Drosophila melanogaster: one gene and its partner. The protein of the gene in region 2 interacts with the protein of the main gene of each other region in a pairwise test. Each region holds a gene or a part of one and is shown on either strand. Other genes may lie near its edges.

Region 1 (9,780 bases), on a different chromosome or scaffold from region 2:
GGCTCGGGAGCAGGAGCCAGGGTGGTGGGTGGCAGGACATCGGCGACCTCAGCCAATGGAGCGAAATCCTCGGCGGTGGCCTGACGGGGCTCCATCTCTGCAGGTGGGGGTCCATAGACGGGGGCCTCGTCCTTCTTGGTCTTGTACTTGATGAAGTAAACCTCTGGCTTCGATGGCTTGGTGGGTGGTGGCGTCGGGATCACGATATCTTGCTCCTGCTCGGGCTTCTTGTGCAGCACATAGATCAGAGTCTTCTCCTCATTCTGGGGTGGTGGTGGCACAACTGGCTGACGGATAGCCGGAGCAGATGGTGCCTTGATGAACACGATCTTGTAGTGCTTCTGCTTGGGTCCCTGCTGGTGGTGAACTCGGGTCTGGATGGCATCCTCCTCCTCGAAGTCCTTTGGCGGCACATGGACGTAGATGTGCTTGTGCACCTTGGTCTCCTGGGGGCCATTGTTGTAGCCACTGGCATGCTGCACTCCGGACAGGCGGTGGGCCATGTTGTAGCTGTCATCGTAGGCATTCAGGGGCTCAGCGGCGGCGGCAGTGGGAGCCACTTGCTCGATGGCATCCAGATGCATTTGGGGTGGCAAGTAGGTCTGCTGGGGCGGTGCAAAGTTGGCAAACGACTGCTCCTGGGGCAGAGGCTGGTAAATCTGCGGGGGAACGGGGTGAGCTGTCCAAAAAGAAAGATTAATAAGATTAAGATAAATATATGGAGTTAATATATCTACATTTGCTGAATTATATTACTATAATCAATGTTTAATCTAATCTTTAATAGTTGTCATGCTCATAAGACTTTAGCAAAAATCTGTGTCACATAAATAGCTTTAATCTTTTTCGCTTTAATTTCCTATAATGTTTCTATTTCATCCTCCGCCCACTTACCATTGAGTGGCAAAGCCCGCTGGCTCTGCTGCTGAGGCAATCCGTGGTAGGAGTACGGGGATGGGGGCTCAGGACGACCCAAAGTGGTGGCCACCAGGGAGGCCACGCACACAACGAACAGCGAGGAGACACGCATTTTGCTTCTGGTAATCGGAAATCCTTTGCTGCTTAGTAAGCCCGTAATCCTTTGGCTCGATGAAATGCTTCGATGGAGAAGCTCGATGCTCGACTGATGCTGACTTGGCCGCCGCGGTCCGAATTTATATGATTCGATGTCCGCAGCTCCGAGTGCTCAAAGTCTCATTACAAAAGGTAAACGAAATAAACGAAAAAATGAATTTAATTAAGCATCAAAAGAGACGCGAAGAGCTTCGGATGAACTTGGCCAAAAGCGAGTAGAAGGCGGCGCAGAGCAAAGATACGGATACGGATGCAGAGAGAAGTCTGCGACACGTGTCTTTTGGGTTCACAAGCGAGAAATTGGAGCAAACCCGTCTGCAAAACGAATCTCCCAGGAGGGGGCAACCCCATAGTCCACAATCAATGCCCTGGGCCAACGCGAAAAAATGTTTGCCCAAATCGTTATGTGTAACACTCTCCGCTGAGTATCTCGTATCTGGTATCTTGTAGCTCGTAGCTCGTAGCTCGTATCTCATATCTCGCATCTGAAAGATGCAGCAGCCGCAACCTTCGGCCAAGTGCGCCAAGTGTTATTTTCACAATTGGAGCGCACTTAAATTGCTGGCTCGAAATCGAAAGTGACCCACGATTACACACTCGACCGAGTCCCATTGATGAACTTCATTCATGTGACGCCTCGAGGAACTTGTTTGTCCAGTTTGTACTTCCTCGACAGCCGGGTCATGTGATTCCCCGGCAATCCAGTCAAGGGATAATCCATTTTTTCGCATGATTAGCAAGGAATCTAAATAGTGAACGGGAAATACGAAAACAACGTGTTGTGCTAGGACATTAAGCCAAGTATACATTAAATGTGTAACTTAGTAAATTTGTAAAACAAAGTTGCAGGTTTATTATGCTTTCAGCTTTAGTATTTTTCTTTATAATTATTTCTACTCATTCTTAAGTATCATTAAGCTTCAATGTTGTCTCATTGCATATGGAACTAACAATAGTTACTTTAAAAGATCCCAGTCATTGCATACAATACAATGCATTTTAACCCATTCTTAAACCCTAACAAATTCGTTTATAAACCTATAAATACACGCAGTCATCAGACCAAAAATAACACAATAACGAAGGGCTTTTCAAGGCCAGTTCCAAATTTCCCCCGAACTGTCAACCGTTGACGGCGGACACTTTCAACACCTACGATAACAATTACGAAACAATCGTAACAAAATCAAAATCAAAATCAATTTTCAAATTGAAGCCAAACATTAAGCGTCGAAAACGAAAACAATAAGTAATAAAACAAAACAGCAGCTACCCAAATAAAGTGAATAGCGAGCGGCATTTAATTGGATTTGCTGCACACAGCCATTGGTTCGAAAGTAAATAGACCGCCAGTACCCACTATCCAATACCCAGTAACCAACCAGTAACCAGCTGAATCGAGACGCTTGTCCACTTGCTGTCCACACACAGAAATCATTAATTGTAATTGCAGCCGACGCATCTCGACGCAGCGAGGTGGAGAAATGTCGAGTGGCTGTGCGGACACATGTAGCTTATGGCTATAACTACATCGACATGGCTATAAGGCGGCACAAGAAGTTGGGGGGCGTACGTAATGGCAACAGGGTTTTGGAGCTTTACGTCACCGTTCGATCGATTGGAAATTGGTGCACTTGGCCACCGAAGAAGAAGCCTAACGAGTCAAGCGCTGTCAACGGGAAGAAGGGTCCGGACTCAAAAAATAAAATCAGGGATGCAACTTAATTTAAACATATACATAAGTAAATAGTACATTGAAACATGGCATAGAAATTGATAAAATTGTTCAAAAATATCAGTAAAAATGTGCAAAATTATCCGTAAACGAGGTCAAAATATAGATTGTCATACCTTGCTGGACTCGTAAAAACATGCTTAATCGTTTGGCATTCAAGAATGAAAAAAAAATTTTTTGTCAATTTTTGCGAAAAATTACGATGTTACCCCTTATAAAAAATGGAAAATTTTGACAAAAAATTTAATTTCTGGAATCAAATCAAAAGTGATTGCGTTGGTTTGCTGAGGTCTTTAGCTCTCTAAAAAGGTGTTTTTCTTAGCTGTGGCTGCCATTTTGGCCGAGTTACAAGCTTAAGCCCATCAAATGTATAAGTACAAAAAGAAAAACTTGGTGAAAATCTGATCTTTAGTGATGAGATAAAAAAATTTGACAAATTTATTTAAGGTAAATTATATTGACTACAAGAACAGTTTTTATTCCATCCCTGGTCAAGAGAAAGACCAAAGGAGCTGCCGCAGATTGTGTCATCAAGGGTTCGAAATTTGGTGAAAATCAGGTCAACAGTGCAGTAGCACGTCCATCGATGAGTTATTGATTTGTGTCGAATACTCGATCTCCTGCCCTTCTCCTCGTGGCATTGGCTTAGTCTTGTTTTTCGATGCCCTTCGATCGCTTCAAATTGACATTGCCGGGGAGCTGCGTCCCTCTTGGGGGGAATTTCCATCGCAGCAGCTTAAAATAGACGAAGCGACCGGGGATGCGCCACTTGACTTGCCACTTGTTGCATTCAAGTGCCACGAACAGCAAAAGCCATAGAAGAAGCACAGCGGCCAACACGAATGGGGCAGATACTTTGGGGCTTTGTCATTGAGATGTGAACCCACAAGTCGATTAGTTGGCCAATGGCAGTGAAGAGGCGCATTCCATCGCCAGCGAAGAATGCGTAGGTCACTTGACTTAAAAACGGAGTAGAAGCAGCTGCAAACCTTGTGGTGGATATAGATACCCATCTCAGTGGTACAGAATGCCATATTATTGGACTTTCTACTTAACCGTTAACCATTTAAATCAATTTAAACCAAAGTCAGTTCATATAAAAATACCACTCACTTACAATCCCAAACCTCAAATTAACCTGAAAAAAATTTGACTTCCACATAAAGTGATTTACTGATTTCCGAGAAATGCTTCGACTACCATATTAAATAATTTTATTACACTCTATAGCAAGTGTATATTTTTCACTTTTACCACAAACACCGAAAATAAGAAGGCAACTGCAAACCAAACATGCAAATCATGCTTAAAAAAAGTTTATAAAAAAAAGCAGATCACAAGTAGATGTTATATATTTAACTGGGGCTTCAGCCCACACTCCGTAAATTATGACAAATGGCAGATGAATATGGTCTATTCCCTGGCATTCCCCCCTTCATTTGAATACGTTGACAAATCGTTCGGTTAAGTGACTTAATAGCTAGCCCGGAGGAGCATAATGATGATGATTACTGCGATCGGCGTCGTCGATTATCTCGTTAATTAAAGACCACAGACAACCAGAGCATTTTTGCACCGCTTGCCATTCCCGCCTCGTCAAGGTCACCCGATTTTAGCACAATTATCGAGGCCCTTATCCCAACCCATCATCATCGCCTCCGGTTTTATGTAACTCACTTACAGCCTGTGGGAAGTAATTAAAACTGGAGCAAGTCGAGTACTTTTTATTTACGAGGGTGGTTACCTGGATTTCGTGACCAGGTTCCTATGGCAATGTTAATGGGGCTTATACTAGACTGCTCCAACAATTTAATGAAGAAAATAAATTGAATTTCAGGATAAGTTAAATATTTCCTTAGTTTTTATATATGTAAAGAATGAAGTGCTGATAATTAGTCATCAAAGAGGTTGGTAAAAATACAATGCCATTAAAGGTTTTACTACGAGTTTTAATGGCTCAAGGAATTCTTGGAAAAGAAAGTTTTAGATACGAGTTTTTATTTATTCAAGTGGATTTTCGCTTTTCAGGGGTAACGCCTTACCGAATTGAAGACCACATGCCACGGACAACTGCATTTAACTTGTGCCCAAATATTGACATTGAATTATAATGCCCATTGAGACGCAAGGCAATCAAAGGCCTATATATAGAGTTACACACACTGGGCTATTACGGTCAAAAGTAGAGTGTAAGCAGGGGAAATAATAACATGGTTAGCGGACAAATACTTTGTCACTGACAGCGGTCAAAACATAAAGGGTAAAGGGTTTTCTTTCGCGAGATCTGCAACAGCTGTCAGCCAGGCCGGTTGCTCGTCACGTATCTCAAAGATATGCAAAAGTATATGAGTATCTACCCATCTGCCGGTGCGTATGGTTGGGTTTCATTGAATTGAGTGCCCGGCTAAATGCTGTGAGCCGCAATTTGTATCCCGCGCTTTGTTTACTTACGCTGTCATCCCCTTTTGTTGGGCACTAGGCCCAGCCTCCAGTCCAATTTGTTAGCCATTTGCAGTCAATCACAGTGTGGCCACTAACAAACAAGATTTTGTCCGTCCGCGTTGGTCTTTCCATTTGCCTTTTCATTTCGGCTCTTTAGTGGGCCGTCATCTCTGTTTGCCGGTCAGCTGGCAATTAAAAATGTATTTACCAGCTCTTTGCCATTGTGGAGCACTTATCGCGCCACTTGCACTTGACCAGTTCCGATTTGAAGTGGCTTAAAGCCATTCGAAGGACTAGCCCCTAAATGGCCGTTACTAAATGTGGTCTCCTATTTAAGTCCACTTGTCGTATACTCTATGTGCAATCATAGTCGCCCGCTGGCGCCATCTACATGTCAGTTAACTCTTGATAACTTATCACTAGCGTTTTTCTTCCTCTCTCGCCTTGAACAAGTTCAGGCGATGAAAGAAATCGTCAGTCGTGGAAAAAAGCTTCACAGAAGCCAAACAAAGTTATACGCAAACAAAGAGCATATGGAGTAGGTTACTGGAGTCGAGGGTTTCAACTTTTCAATACCTCATAGGCTCCGAAATATTTTAACTTTTTGATTCCAAGTGCCTTATCATTTTAGATAGCCTAATACCAAATAGCTGATAGCTGATCAATAGTTGATTATCTTTATTAATCATAATTTATAGATTCATTTTCATATGATTATCAACAAAAATCTTATATAAAAGCATATGCCCAGAAAAATCATGTATGTAGGGTATTTAAAAAATTAAAATGAAAAAATAAAGAGACAGTCCAAAAACAAAAGCATTCGGCTACGGAATGCAGCACAATCGAGCACTCATTTCAGTTGCTCACGAGGAGATCGCCGGTGAGGTATCTCGCTAACCACAGATACGATTTATCTCAGAGCAATGGAAAGGCCTGAAAATAACGACAGTCAGGTAGGAAAATCAAGCTTATCTAGCCAAGATTAAAAGTCGTATCTCTTTTATTTTGTCTACCGGTTTAGCTCATTTTGGTGCAACAGAATTTACGAACACTGCCCCAGGAATTAGTTAAGAAGCATGCTGATCATGTAGAGCAACTGGATCTAAGTCACAATTGTCTAAAGGATCTGTCTTGGTTGGCGGACTTCGAGCAGCTGCGTCATTTGGTGCTGGACAGCAATCGCATGCATGAGGCTCATTTGAGGACACTGACTTGCCCGCTGCCACAATTGGAAGTACTGATGCTCAACAAAAATGAGGTGAAGCCACAGAATCACAGTTCAATTGCTGTATATTAGAAATAAACGTCGAAAATTGCAATTTCTTATCGATTCCAGTTCAGTGACCTGCCGACGACAATGCGACTGATCAGAAAGTTCTTTCCCAATCTGCAGTATTTGAGCCTCCATGGCAATCCGATCTGCCCGGATGGCTTGGAACTGCAGCCGTTCTCCACATACCTGCGCTACGACTACGAGTACTATAGGTGGGTGTGTCTGTTACAATATTGATCTATCTATACATAGCTGCCGATCTGTTTCAGCAACTACATTGCACAGTCGCTGAGTAAACTGAAATTTCTGGATCATGGACTGGTTCAACGCACCTACAAATACGAAAGTTTCCCCATAAAAAATTACAATGGCAAACAGCTTATCCAGACGACAAGTGTCTGAAATTATAAGCAAATAAGACTATTTAACCTATTTATATTTAATGAAGTAAATTTTAAAACTCCCTATATTACCCATTGATCTATTAATTGAAGTTTGGGCATTTTATACAAGCTAAAGTATAAGACCACATCCTAGACACAATCCGTATAAGACAGTGTCTTGGATATCTAGCCAAGACATCAACCGCTCCCAAAAGCTTACAGTGGTCAAATTACAAACAAGTGTCATTAATAATTTTTTGTGATAAATCAATATCACCAAGTATAGTAAAAATAAATGTAGTATTAAAAACAATATATTTAACTAAAAATTCTGATATAACCATATTTAAGCCATATAACTTAAAGAATCGATGGACAATCCGTACACATTGTAGGGCACTTGTATATGCCGGCCGGCAAATGATAATTCAGAGGAGGACCACAAGCAAAGTGAGAATCTGATGAACGGCAGTGCAAAACAAATCGCTGATAGCCAGTTATCGGGGCTCTATATAAATCGGCATCTGGCAGCATTTCAGTTTCAGTTTCGCGACGTCTCCCAGACAGCCGGTTTCTATTCCAGTTCTTGAAGGTGTATATATCGCTCAATATGGCCGATCCCAACGCCAAGCCCAAGTACACAAAAGTGAGTATAAATATTGTGTGTGGGCAGCTGTCTATTAAATAATGCAAATCCCTCTTACTGCGCTGCACTTAAGCTAGGTGCATTGAACTTCCACTTTCTGCATTACAAGTTAAATGATTTAAAGTAAGCTGCCTAGTGAAACACATCAAACTCGTTTGTGTCGCAATTTAAGTACATATGTACAAATACTTGCAATTTTGGCCTCCTTACGCATATGTACGATTATTTTAAAAAAAAAACAGCAATTAGTTTGTTCGGAGATAGAGGGCTTAAATTGTTATCAACAGATGTGGGATGAAAAAAATAAACAGATTCGAAAAAAAAAAAAAAAAAGAAATAGAGCAATAATAATTAAGATGTTTGCTATGCTGATAAGAAAACATTCGTTGGGGACCAACATGAACTTTTTTCTGATACGAATAAGACTTTGAACGCTCATTTACAATGGCGAAATTATGAAAAAATATTATATATAAAAGAAAACTAATCAATTAGTCGAATATTTAATAAAGATTCTTTCTCTGTAAAGTAAAAACTCCTTATAATGCCCTTATTTTTAACGCCCACTTCTCTATATTCATTATTGTTTCCAATTGATTACAATAAGCGGACTACTTTATCTTGAAAGTTTAAGAACGCTGGTCGTACGATTTCATATCGCCCAACGACCCATTATAATTTAAATCAACACTAGATAACAGCCTCAAACTGCTTTGGTTTATTGTCAACAGTTTTGTATTTTTTACATGCTCGACAATTTGGAATCGTGACTAGAATTACACTTTACAGTGTTTACATTATCGCGTGTCCCCGGCAAATTGAAATGGGCCAATCGGGGGGGTTGATAACTTGTTTGAGCGGATAAGTAATCGCTGACAAACTGGGCTAACAATGATGAACAAATTGCAAAAACTACTGGCACACCAATTGGCTGTTTCACGAAAGTGGTCGAAATTTGATCATACTTATGCCCAGTGCGAACCCAATTACTGTCAGGTGGCGGAAAAGATTCCATTGGTTCCATTTACTTTCCACTAAATCAAAACTCACTTGATTTATTTATTTATAGCTTTTCATCAACAATGAGTTCGTTGATTCGGTGTCGGGCAAGACCTTTGCCACCTTCAATCCGGCTACATCCAAGGAGATTGTCCAAGTCTCCGAGGGAGATAAGGTGAGTCCAGCATTCTCGAAAGAGATACGATGGTGAAATGTACCTGTTGATTATTCTTAATATTTTATTAGGCTGATATCGACCTGGCTGTGAAAGCGGCCAAGAAAGCCTTCCATCGCGACTCGGAATGGCGCAAATTGAGTCCTCTGCAGCGCACCAATTTGATGAACAAGTTAGTTTTACCCATAAATCACACGTAAATAAAGTATAACAATATAATCCCCTGCAGACTTTGTGCCCTGATGGATCGGGACAAGGCATTCCTGGCCAGCTTGGAGACCCAGGACAATGGAAAGCCCTACGCTGAGGCCCTCTTCGATGTGACCTACTCGATCCTGACGCTGCAGTACTACGCCGGCTGGACCGACAAGTTCTTCGGCGACACCATTCCCGCTGGAGGCTTTGTCTCCATGACCCGCAAGGAACCGGTGGGCGTGGTGGGCCAGATCATACCCTGGAACTATCCCCTGCTGATGCTGGCCTGGAAGTGGGGCCCCGCTCTGGCCGTCGGATGCACCATCATCATGAAACCCGCGGAGCAAACTCCTCTGACTGCCCTTCACATGGCTGCTTTGGCGAAGGAGGCAGGCTTCCCAGCCGGTGTGATCAATGTGGTCAACGGATTTGGTCCCACTGCCGGTGCTGCTATCAGTGCTCATCCTGATATTGCCAAGGTGGCTTTCACCGGCTCCGTGGAAATCGGTCGGATTGTCATGCAGGCTGCAGCCACGTCGAACTTGAAGAGGGTCTCCCTGGAATTGGGCGGCAAGAGCCCCGTTGTGGTCTTCGATGATGCGGACAGTGAGTTACTTATCTCTTTAAAACTTAAGCATAAACCTACTAATTCCTGCTTTCCCCCATTAGTTGACTTCGCCGTGGAAACCACCCACGAGGCTCTGTTCTCCAATCACGGCCAGAGCTGCTGTGCCGGCAGTCGCACCTACGTTCACGAAAAGATCTACGACGAGTTCGTGGCCAAGGCAGCTGCCAAGGCAAAGGCCCGCAAGGTGGGCAATCCTTTCGAGCAGAATGTGCAGCAGGGTCCCCAGA
Region 2 (12,458 bases):
GGAGGGCGTATACAGTGCCACCAGTAAGTGGCGGCACAGCGCAGCCTCATCCAAAGCCAATGCTTGCATTTGCTGAGCCACTTGCAGCTCGCCTTCTTCAATAATGGCCCGCAGCACCAATCCAGCTCCCTTCACGATCGCCAGCGAGGGATGCTGGAACAGTTTGTACAAATAGCGTCCACGATCGGCAACCAGCTCCAGCAGAGTATCGAACTGCTTGCCGTCAGTGGTCTCGCTGTAAGGCACACACAAGGCAAAGGTCATGAAGTCCAGCATGGCTGAGAGTACCAGAGCACCACTGCCATGGCTCTGAAATCATAAATAGTTACAAAACGAATTGACCGCACTCTAGAATGGTTACATTACCACATGGGTTGTCCACATGTTGAGCAAAGTTTCCAGAAACGATTTTGATGACAGAATGGATGACTTGTTAAGTTGCTCCTGTTTTAAATCATGGTCAGAATTCACAGAATGCATTAGCGAGTTAATCATGTCAATGGCGGAGTATGTCACAGCCAAATCCTTGCGTCTTAAAGCAGCCACCACCTTTGTACCGATAATCTCACGAAAGCTGAAATGTATTCAAACATTAACAATGCTATTAGTACGAAACTAGAATATATTACCCCGGGAGATTCGTAAAGGCTGCGTATCCAACTTTGCTAGCGAGAAGACGAGTAAGAGCGTGAAAGATAGCCTCCAGCTCCAAGTTGCTCAGCTGGGCCGTAGGGCTGTCCAGCTCCTTTTGAGCCAACGCTTGCAGGGCACTCAGGATAAGTTTATCTTTGTTTTCAGCAAACAAGCTCTGTGAAACGAAACATTAGTTAGGTTGAACCGGAATCCGAGCATTAGGTTAACCTACATCCTGAGTTACACTGTAGTTGAGGCCACTGTGAGGCACATTGGCATTAAAGCGCTCCAAGATCTCATACCGCTTAGAGGGGTTTTGAAAATTGTTGATAACCAGGCGCATCAAATTCGCCTCCGTCTCCTCGTCCACCGAGCTGTTCAATGGCACATACCGTTTCCCTCGCGGCGTGTTGCCAATGCGGACGTGCACATCCTGATTGCCACTGGAGCGGACAGCATCCAGAACAGTGGCCAACAATGAGTCGCGGTCGTTGGTGCTGTAGTTGCGCACGATTCCATTCTTGTACTCGATGCTGAAGCGCTGAAGATTGTCCTTGTCTCTAACTAAGGCAAACACATCAGTGAGCGGACGCAGGGTGCAGACGCTGTAGGTTTGAGGATCCCGCTCCAGCAGCGTTACCTCGGTGAGGCAGAGTATACGCTTCACCGGATCCGGATGGCGGGGCGTTATCTTATGAACCGAGAATTCGGTCGACGAGGTTTGAAACTGGTCACCACTGAAATATTATATGGCTTTTTTTTTCTACAAATTCTTTATTGCGTTTCACATGAACTTACCTAAACTTGCCGAACCGCTGCCTCTCGAACTGCTCCAGAGTGATCTGACTCTTGAGTATTTTGGTTTCGATGCCCAGAAACTGAGCCGATCTCTGTGCTATGTTCTGCACGATTTCGTGGTGATTCAGCGCCTTAAACAAATGGAGGCGACTGAATCCGCCGTAGGCCATCACGATTCCTCCCTCATAGTCCGAGATGCCTGCTTAAAACGTGTGCGGAAGAAAGATGAGTGCGGCAAGTAACCAAAAATAAAAAAAAGAACAAAACACGGAGCGATCATATTGAATTGTAATTGAGGCACATGAGGACAAAACAAGACACATTAATTGATGCAAGCGAGTCGAATGTGCATAGCTACCTATTATTCCCTCGATATCCTTGTACATATAGCTGGCCAGCACGTCGTTGGTGGTGGGATCGAGCTGGTCCAGAGAACAGGGCGTGACCTCCAGTACTGTGGGAAGACTGATGCCCGACCAGTGGTATTTGTAAGCACTAAAGCGCTACAAAATTTAGATAGTATTCAAAATTAAAATTTTGACAGATTAGAATTCATATTGCATATTTAAATGTTAATTAGAAACATCTGAATCACACATGAAATGTTGGAGAAGTGTTTCCAAATTAGTATAGGATTTAAAGCGAGACTCAAAAACCAACCTGAGCATTTTTCGGCTTGTCCGCAAACTCTTTGTAGTACTTTAATATAGAGCTTAGGATATCGTTCCGATATTCCGACGATAACTTGATTGTATCTAGTTTCTTATCCTTTTTGATGGTAATCACGAAGTCATGGGGTATCTGAAAGATCAATTTATTTAGTTCCGAGCTCTCCGTAGGATCTTATAAACTCACATTTGTGGTCTTTGAGGGTGCTGCTGCTACGATGTCCGAATAGGACCACCTGTTAGTCAGGTCAAGCTTGTCCGGATTGTAGGTGGATATGCCGGCCGTGCCGATGGAGAGGATGCGCTTATACCTGCCCTTCCAGGAGTGCTTGGTCACCAGGAAGCACTCCAGATCGACGTTTTCCTTAGGCGGCAGCATCGTTTCTTGTGACGATTCCAACTGATTACCTTCCACCCAGTATTAGTCAGCAACTGAAAGTGAGTGAGATATGGAGTGTGGGAACGGGAGTCAAATCAGAGCCGCGGCAATTCATGACTGGTCTTTCGGGCGCGCAGCTGGTTCACGTTCCCAGCGGTTTCCAAATATCCAATTGACTTGCCCCCGACTCCAGGGCACTGATTAATTAAGTCGACTTGGGCACTTATCAGCAGAAGTGCCAACGGAGCCCCAACAAAGACCAGAAAAGGGGAGTAAACGTGACGAGTGCGGAATGCTGCGGCCCCCAGAGCGCGGACCGTTGGATACGGCTCCGCCGAGCTGCAGCCCTGGCGGTGGCTTACCTTAAACATCTAACACATTTTGCCCAATTGTTATATTGTCTTCTATTCCTAATATCTCTCGTTTGCGGAATTTTTGCAATAAACAATTTAGCAGTAACACGGCTACACAACACTAATAAATAGAGGTGCAAGTATCGATGGCAATAGTCTTGCAGCGATTCGATAGTTTGTAAGGTTCTATCGATAGTGGTCCCGTTCAGCAGCAATTGGTAAACGCATATTCACGGTATTCTCGGAGTATTTAAGTTTCAAGCTTAATTCACTTTTGAGTCAGGATGTTTGTTTGTGCCATAAAACATTTTATAAAACCAAATTGCAATTAAACCTGATTCCAGCTTTTTCCCAATTTTTCCCATACCAATTACCAGTTTATACGTTTCGCTTTTCATAACGATTAAATAATTGCTAATAATTTTATGTAGAATATGAACGCACGACACTTTTATCTGTATATCATTATTTTTAAGTTTAATATGTGATCACTAAACAATAAGGAATACCATAGTTGATAACTATCGATAGTTTGAATATTAAAAAAAAAGAAAAACATTGCCGGTTGGGGATACGATTTTTTACCGTTAAAAAAGGAAATGTAAAAACAAAGCTTTTATTCGTATTTATTTACAAAGACCAGTGATTCAATGAAGGCAAATACTAGTAGCATAACATTTTCATTGTATCACAAAAGCACTTACACAGAATTTATTCAGCCAATAAAACACGTCGTCTGAACTTAACTACCATTAAAAACTTTATTTCTGATTTCGCATTGCATTAAGCGTACGTATTGTTATCTAAATACAAATAATGATGGCAGAGTGTGTTTGCATACGAGAATAATAATTCCAAGATAAAACAATCTCGCCAGCAGAGGCAAATAAAACAAACAAAACAATAAGACGATTCGCATTTTACACAAATGTAGTATGCTATGATACGGATGCTGCACTACCTCCGGCTAATCCTCGCAACTAGGGCAATGATGGTGATAGTAATAATGTTTCGTATGCGTAGGTATGTTATGTGTCACCATATAAATTCTCAAAGTGACACGGATCCCGATGCCGGCGCAACATTGTGGACCCACAGACGGGGTGTTAAAGATAAAGACGGACGGGATGATACGGATGACACTAAGTCTTAGACAAATGTTACGTTAAAACCCTAAGCATAGTTATCGCTATCTTCTAACAACATGAACATGGAGTGGACGTAGGCACATGGCGTTTCTGTGTTGAAACTCGCTCTTAAACTGGGAATGGGAATAGGAGTCGCCGGACCTCGGTCCCAGGTCAGCAGGAACACTTGTTCTTGGCATCCGATCCGGTTGCATCGGCCGCGCTCAAGTTGAACTTGTCGCCATCGGCCAGATCGGCAGATATCAGCTTATCGTTGATGAGTATCTGTCGGGCGAGTGGAAGAAGATTAGCGGGGCTTTGGCTGGGCATTAGCAGCGATTATCACCTTATTCACGAGGGCACGAGCTGCCTCATCGATGTTGATATTCTCCTTGGCGGATGTCTCAAACCAACCGGCAAATCCGTTCTCCCTCACATACTCATCCATCTTCTCGGGCTGCGTTATGATGCCCTGCTTTTCCTGGTCGCACTGGAAAACGGATGAGCAACGTATTAATCACATAATATAGAAATTATGCGGTCTCCTTTAACCTTTAGGCAATCACTTACTTTATTGGCCAGCAGGATGCACGGAATGGGACTGCCGTCCGGCAGCTGCACCTTGGAGTCTAGATCTTCCTTCCACTTGCTCACGCAATCGAAAGTCCCACTGCGAGTCACATCAAAAACGATGAACGCGCCCACCGCCTCCTTGTAGTAGACACGGGTCATGTTGCCAAACCTCTCCTGACCGGCGATATCCCACAGCTGGAGGCGCACTATCGTATTGGCGTCCCACTGCAGCACTTTCAGGGCGAAGTCCACGCCGATGGTGGCCCTGTAGTTCTGGCTGAAGAACTGGTGCACATAGCGCTTAATGAAGGACGTCTTGCCGGTGCCCAGTTCACCAATGACTAGAATCTTGTACAGATGCTCGCGCTTATCGCTGGTGGATGTCATGATGGCCTGCAAGCAAGGATTGGATGAGAGTTACTTGTATGTTCGATCCATGCTTAATAGAATAGTTTGATAAATTTGATACACTAAACAATGAAATCCCACTTGTGACTTGAAATCTCAAGATAAAGAGATACATACTTTTGGGCTCTGGGTTTCAAGATACAAATATAAATAATCCGTGCATTTCGAATTATAATAAGTAGTAAAGTTTGTTCTATCATAGCACGTTTACACTCAGTTATATAAAAGCATATCAATATATAATATAGGAAGTGAGAATTCACCACTTTAATAAATTCTAAGCCTGGTATTAGTTACACCTTCTGCTGCTCGTCAATCCGCACTGAGATTTGCTGGTTAGTTGACGAGACCCCCTGGGCTATTACCACCGCCCGCCGCCCGCACAGTTGAATGACACTCTGGAACACACACTATAAGGGGGCCAACATATCACTTGTGGGGCTTCTTCGCTTCTTCGTAGGTAAATGACAACTGGCGAATTGGCAATCCGACGACGACGAGACCTTACCGGTTCCATTTCCTGATCCATGGTCAGGTCACCGAAGGCCGGCATGGGCTTGGCGTTCTCTGGCTCTGTGGTATCCGCCTGCTCCTCGCTATCGTCCTCGGATCCGGAGTCCTGGTTGGAGTATTCACTAGCCACCGACTGATAGTGCAGTGTTTCCCGCCTGCCCTCGATGCTGTCGTGGTCGCCGAGGATGAGCTGCTGCTGAGCGAAGCTGAGACGCCGGATGCTGGAGTCGCTGAGCTCTTCGTTGGAGTTGGGCTGTTGACTGGCGGCGGCGGCCAATGCGGCTTCGTAGGCACTCAAGGGACTCCTGACTGCACTGCCCACTTCAAAGCGGACAACGGGCGGGGGATTAGCAATAGTCTGGGCGCTTTCCGCCGAGGAGACTCCGTCCTCAGCCGCCGGAGGGGATGTGGATGGGTCCAGGGATTGCTGCCCTGATGGCTGGGGTTCCGTGTTCGCTAGTTCAGCCAGTGGTCTGGCGTTGAGGCGGTGGCCGCGCTGCTGCTGCTGCTGCATCAATTCCAGCTTCCTGCTGGATGCGCTCGAGGATTGGGACTTGCGAACAGCTCCGGTGCCGCTGGCTGACTGAACGCGACTTGGTTTTGCTGGCGCCCGTTCTCTGGGCGGCGTATCGCGCGTGCTCTCGGTGGTGGTGATAAGCGGCGACGGCGACGCCGATGGGGACTCTCTCTCGGGGCTCTGGGGCTTCTTCTTCGACACCAGCAGCTTGGTGGTGCGGGTGCTGCTGCTCGTATCTCTCGTGGTCACGGTGGTGGTAGTGGTTTTCTTTCTCGGTTTCCTTTCTTCTGCGGCGGGTGTCAGATAATCCGTGTCGCTCTTGGGTCTGCTCTTGCCGCTCTTCTTGGCGGGCGATGGCTCCACCTTCTTGCCACTGATGGTGATCTGCAGCGTGCTGCTGCCGGCGGAGGTGGGCGAACCGGGTGGCGATGGCAGGGGTGTTGTTTCCAGGTGCTCCACGCTGATGTCGTCGCTGGTCGCCAAGCTGTGGGGCCGCCCCTTCGGCGTTTTCCCACTTTTTCTCAGGCCTCCAAGAAGCAGGCGGCGCGTCAGGCTCTTTTTCTTGGTCTTGCCGAGGGCTCCACTGTCCGTGGAGATGGAGCTGGCCACGTCTTCGAGCTCGCCTGGGGTTTCCTGAGCCTCTTCCTCCGCGCTGCGTGTTTCCCTGTCGGTGCTTTTATCCAGCTCCCTTTCCCTTTTGGTTTTGGTCTTCGAGAGGCTTCGCAGAGCCGCAGTGAATCGGGAACGGCCCTTGATCTTCGCGGTGGCCTCCTCAGACTCGTCTTTCGGATCCCCGTCCCCCTCCTGGCGGTCACCCTTTTCCTCCGATTGCTCCGATTCCGCTCTCTTTGTAGCTGCTTTTCCCCGCTGCTCGTCCACGTTGGGCATATTTTCAACTGACGCTGTTGATCCCTAGCGATTCTACACAGATTCCATTTGCTCCAGCTTGATTTCCAGTCCTGATCCTGCACGATCCTCGAGCTTTTTTTTTTTAAGCAACCGTTGCCCAGACTAAACGAACGCGCACTAAAATCCCCAGTGCCGACGACTAGGCTTTTATAAATTTTGTATTCGCCCCGTTGGTCCCGCCCCCGCACCATCCCCTTTTGTGGTGAGAGGTTTAGCATTACAGTTACGAAAATCGCTATAGCTGGCCAGGTGCTTACCAACACTGGTTGCCGCCTCCAAATCGCTTGCGAAATGAGCGTGAGAAGAGCCGGTGGGCCTTTGAATGGGCCGATTGGACGGCTGGCACCCGCTTATCAAGCAATCCCCGGACAAAGATTGGCCAGTGTCCGGTGGCCCGCCATAATCGACGCCAGTTGTCCGGCTGGTTAGCCCTGCTCCGGAATCACTGGGCTCTATAATTTGGATCGAGGTAATGCATAATGCCATGATGCCGTGATGCTACGATGACGAGCACCCAATCATCCGGCACAACCAGTGGAGCAGGGCGCCCAGTGTCCATATCTGGACCTGACCTCTCCAAGCAACCCAGAACGTGCTCCGCCGCACTTGGCGGGCTTCCTTTAAGCTGAGGATTTGCCGCATCAACTTGTCCCAAAAGAGTCGCTCGGCATTAAGTGGGCGACACATCAATCTGGCGGATTGGCCGCTGTCTTGGCCGACTGTCGACTTACTGCTCGACGTGACTATATAGAATTACGCTTATTACAAAACGTGGTTAGCCGCAGTGCATCGAGCAGAGCGACAGGGAAGGAGATATGTGGCCCATATACGATTACCCAAGTAATAACCCGAAACGCAAACGGGATGGCACACATATGTATGTATGTATGTATGGATAGATCGTATCTTACAGATGTACGGAAGTTGCTTCAGATCTGACTTAATTAGATATTACAGTTCCTTATACAGGCACTTTGCTGCGGTTGCGATATCATTGAGCAGTGGGGTAGTTATCAATACTTTTAAAAATGTATAGTATTATTACCAAACACCCTTTTGAACTTATAGTTTGACTATAAATTAAATTAAAGAATAATTTATTGGTAAAAACAATATTTGCCTATATTTGATTAGCTTTATGCTTATCACTAGGGTTAGTAACCATTTCAGATTCCTTTAAAACAACCCATTTGCAATATTGCTAGATTACTACTTATCCATCCTGTTTTCTGAAAGCCGTTTTCTTTTGGAGCACTACATCATTGAAAGTGATTGTTCTTTGATGACTTATATTTTCCTATAAACTAATAGCTATTGGTTATTTAGACCAGGCATTAATCAATGCGATTGCACAGTAAAGTAAAGCGTTCTAAATGTAATTCACCATAAAGAGCGCTGTCTGTAGCCTAACCGATTTGCACATTCTGAAATCGGGGACAAGTCAACAGTCGAATCAGCTTACATAATTCATGGGAGATTACAGCAAACACATTTTCTCAAGCCTTAAAAATTCCAGTTACGGAGCAGAGGGCTTTTAAACCATAATGTGCCTTGGAAACCGAAAGCATTAGAAATTCACTTTCGCATAAATGTCGAACGTGGAAGAGTTCCTTTGTGCCCGCAGATGTTTACACGCAATCCAGCCGGAAAACAGAAAACAGAAGAGCTATGCGAAGCATTCGGCCTCCATCTGAAAGTCAGGCGCCTGCAAGTGCCCCCTGACGACCCCATTCCGAACAAAAGCCACACGGATGCCCCGATGTGGCGAAGTCCTGCACGGACTTCTTTTCCGTAAATCGGATACCGAATGGCAGTGGCTAGGAGCCCCCCACCCGCATCGGCCAGCAATCACGTGCAAGTGAGCTCAACAAGAGGAAGTGAGCACGTGAATGAGTTCCTGGAATGGAAACTACTGGGATTGCATGTATCACGGCAGGCGTAAAATCAAGCGAATCTAAAGACACCTGTCTTTTTAGATAGCTTGGGAAAGTACTATTATGGCTAAGCCCATTTTCAGTCGTTTAATCCGAAGGTTTCTAACTGAACCCCAAAAGTATGCAATAAAATCTGATATGTAAGTGTAAAAAGTAGAATAACAAGTTGACGGCGGTGTTAGTTATTGCAAATATTTGTCAATTTGATAAGGAATACTATGCTATTAAAACCAAAATTATTTTGATTACTAAAAGTCCATGATTTAAGTAATTGTTGAAGTACGACATTTACGTATAAATAATATGAATTTTATTTAATGAAAGTTAGTTCAGTGCGATGTACTTTAACTGTCAAAGTTCAAAGCATTCGTTTAAATATAATACCTCAAAATATCGCAGGTTGATAAACATGGAGACTGCGTGCACAAAGATAGTTGGCATTGGAATTTTAAGATTGGCAACCTGGATTGCGTGATACGATACTGCGGCGGCAGAGCGATACTCTTACAGTTACCATAGTAAATATGTACATGCATGTACATATGTACATATGCTTATCAGTTTGCCCGGGCAATTGTCATGTAAATTAATCAGTCGGCCACAAACGTAAAGACACACAAACAACACTGCGGAGTGAAGTGGAGTGCATTGCCTTGGCCAGCGATGCGCCGAGGGAGTTGGAGCTCGATTACATAAGGAGGATGCTCTGCGAGTGGCGTACAGCGATCCCTCAATGGACTCTGCACACGCTGCTTTGCGTATTATCGGTGGGTGGCATGGAGTGTAGTGCCAGCTCATATCTTATCACGCAATGGAGTCGCCCATAAAAGGGGGAGGAAGAGGAGGCGAGAGGGCCCTGATTAGATAGTGGCCGAAATGCAATAAGACCTTGTGATTCATCGAGCGAGCTACATGCATGTGCGATGTGTAAATGGGAAATGCTGGAAATGCCAGGCAGTAATTAAAGAGCCCACACTTTCCTAGCTTGCTTCCATAATTGACCTTCAAACGTGACTTTGCCTATGTCTGATGAACCGAATCCGTAGCCTACCTCCTTCCAATCCGCATTATAGTTTCTCAACAGTAGCGGATATCTATAGCCGGCTAACCCGGCAATCACTTAAGTAGCTCAACACACCCACATGGTTCCGTCCCCGAATCCGACCCTTCTATGTGGAATGTGTAGTATGACCATATCCGTAGCCCCGCTTCACATTGTTTTGATTTTATCGTCTGGCTTGTAACTGAGCTGGGTATCCAATGAAAAAGCAATTGTAATTTCATTACCATTTAATTGGTAAAATTGGCATTGGGAAAATGGCAATCGGTCGATTGAAGATTAGAAGCAAACTAATTCTGAAAGGGAAATTCATTTTGTAGTGTGGGTGGAAAAACGTAATAAAATGGGTACACTGATAAAAAAAAGCTTCGATTTTTATCTATAGTATAGATAGTATTAAAATATAAATGTTAATTTATGGACTTTTGAACTTGCCTTAAATTTGATTCATATTTATTTCAATAGGGAAATTAGAATGTTCGTGGAAAAATCCTTAGATGAAATTAAATTAAAATGTAATTATTTGTATCAGTGCATTGTGATATTCCCCATTGCGATATTCCACATTCCGTGCATTATTCACGCTCCGTAATCCCATCTGGTGGGTTTCCGCAAAGTTCTCTGAGCAACTAAAACGGCTAATGAGTACAAGCTGGTTGTGTTAACGGCCTGACGAGGCGAAATAGCGAAAGCCATTGCAACACTTGGCCAACTTATTTTTGGGCATTTCCCACACTTGCAAAAAAAAGAGTATATATTTTTTTTTGAAAAGTCATCATTTAACGCCAATTTAAAATCGCATGAAAGTTGGTGTGCTATGACTATTTGCTAATGCTTCACTATTTAAGATTTCCTTTTTCAAATTAAAAATAATAACCAGTAATTACCAAGTACATATGAATGTAGGTGCATTCTGATCCCTAACATATGGGTTCACGCCCTTTTAATTGTTTAAAGTATGTCCCTCCTCCCCACATTACATTTTGGCACGTGCCGGCTGTAGGCAAACACTTTCCATTGCGGGTTATGGTGGAGGTACTTACTCCGTTGTGCAGGTATCCGTTGTTCCTGTTGATGTCCATGTGGTTACGGTTGACTCCCGCGGGCATGACCGTGGTCAGTTGCAGCGCCTCTATGGCGCCGAGATCCAACTCCGGCTTGGGCTCGGCGTAGGCCGGAGAAGCACTTCGCAGCGAGAACTGGGAGGAGCTGAGCGGCGGATGCAGCTGGGTCTCCGCGGACGGGAAACAGATCTGGCGGCGCACGAAGATGGGCGACTCCTTGGCGCTGAGGGCGCCCAGTGAACCGGAGCCTGAGCTCACGGGTCGGTGTCTGTGCTCCACGGGCAGGTGACCGGACTGGGTGTTCGGATGCTGAAGATCCGTGGCCAGGTACTGGCAGCGCAGGCAGGCGCAGGTGAGTTCCGAGAGCTGATCGGCCGACTTGGATTTGGGCAGGGCCTTGACCAATCCGGCGGACTCCTGTTCCAGGCAGTCGCAGATATTCTGGCGTCCGGCGGAGGTGGAGACAACGCTACTCTGGATGACGCCGGTTGCCATGCAACCACCGATACGGGGTGGGTGAGTGTGATCTTTAGACCTTCTCCGCAGTTATCTAACGCCCCCGCCCAGTCAAGGTCGTTCACACGCGCTCTAGTGGCCCTCTCCAGGCACAGACGTATAACTCTCGCTCTTCGGAACGCGGATCCCGAGCAACATGTGGTTCTGGTCTAACGGTAAACAATGGCTAGACTGTTCTTGAACTTATCAGAAGAATATGTAGGTATTTATTTGCGAGTTTCACAGCTATATATTTGCGGTGTTATCTCAATCGATCGGTTTGTTGAACTCGACCGTTGCACTTTTTTGGACAATTTCATGCACTCGAATCGCTGGAAACTGGTTTCAAATGCAAATGGAACAGTTCGGTGGTAGCCACTTACTTTGGATCTTAGTGTCATAGGGCTTAAACGGTCGTTTGCAACTTATATTGTTTGCTCTTGCTGATAATTATACGAATCGTAAATTAAATTCACACACGTTCGATTTCCAGGCACGCAATACTACGCAAGACAACAACAACACGAGCCAAGACGGCGCAAAACAACAACAACAGTGATTCCGAGCCTCGAGACGTCCGACCTCCAGTAATTTCAGTTTATAACTGAACCGAAAACAAAAGGAAAACTTTGTCGCACGAACAAATCCGAAAGCGAGAGCTTTGCGAAAAGCTCTACGTAGAAAACCGTTAAACGGACTCCGAGTCGGACTAGATTGAAATCCGCATCGTTTGGCGGTAAATCGATTTTTAAGTTAGAGCGGCGTTAATTCAAATATAAAAATATATACTACTCCTAGAGGGATACCACTGTGGTTGCTTTTTGCAAAGCTTACACGATCTATAAAGATGCCAGATGGTATAATTTTCCAGATAGTTTATTTTTTTTATTATTATTCATTTAAACAAGGATATCACACCCAGAAAAAGGCATTCTTTGGCTCACAAAGATTTGGTTTATTTGCAAGAGTGAGGCTATGGACTTATATTTCACAGGTATATTGTAACACTTTCGTCTGAATTCAATCA

What was found.
Region 1: the proteins of Rab32 (region 2) and CG31076 interact in a two-hybrid assay, tested with the Drosophila melanogaster proteins (one large-scale study listed by BioGRID).

What each region holds. Positions count from the first base shown.
Region 1 is NT_033777.3:26,986,184-26,995,963, reverse strand, and holds CG31076 (uncharacterized protein), read left to right. Parts: upstream 1-6,111; 5' UTR 6,112-6,177; coding exon 6,178-6,207; intron 6,208-6,275; coding exon 6,276-6,512; intron 6,513-6,590; coding exon 6,591-6,739; intron 6,740-6,796; coding exon 6,797-6,929; downstream 6,930-9,780. Other genes in the region: TwdlC (TweedleC), read right to left, coding at 1-679, 895-1,030; CG31075 (uncharacterized protein), read left to right, coding at 8,448-8,552, 8,626-8,730, 8,802-8,902, 8,960-9,531, 9,595-9,780.
Region 2 is NT_033778.4:9,174,302-9,186,759, forward strand, and holds Rab32 (Rab32), read right to left. Parts: upstream 6,998-12,458; 5' UTR 6,858-6,997; coding exon 5,448-6,857; intron 5,046-5,447; exon of another isoform or gene 4,925-5,045; coding exon 4,529-4,924; intron 4,449-4,528; coding exon 4,305-4,448; intron 4,244-4,304; coding exon 4,133-4,243; 3' UTR 3,563-4,132; downstream 1-3,562. Other genes in the region: Rme-8 (receptor mediated endocytosis 8), read right to left, coding at 1-309, 367-574, 630-808, 866-1,370, 1,432-1,633, 1,790-1,934, 2,092-2,232, 2,287-2,478.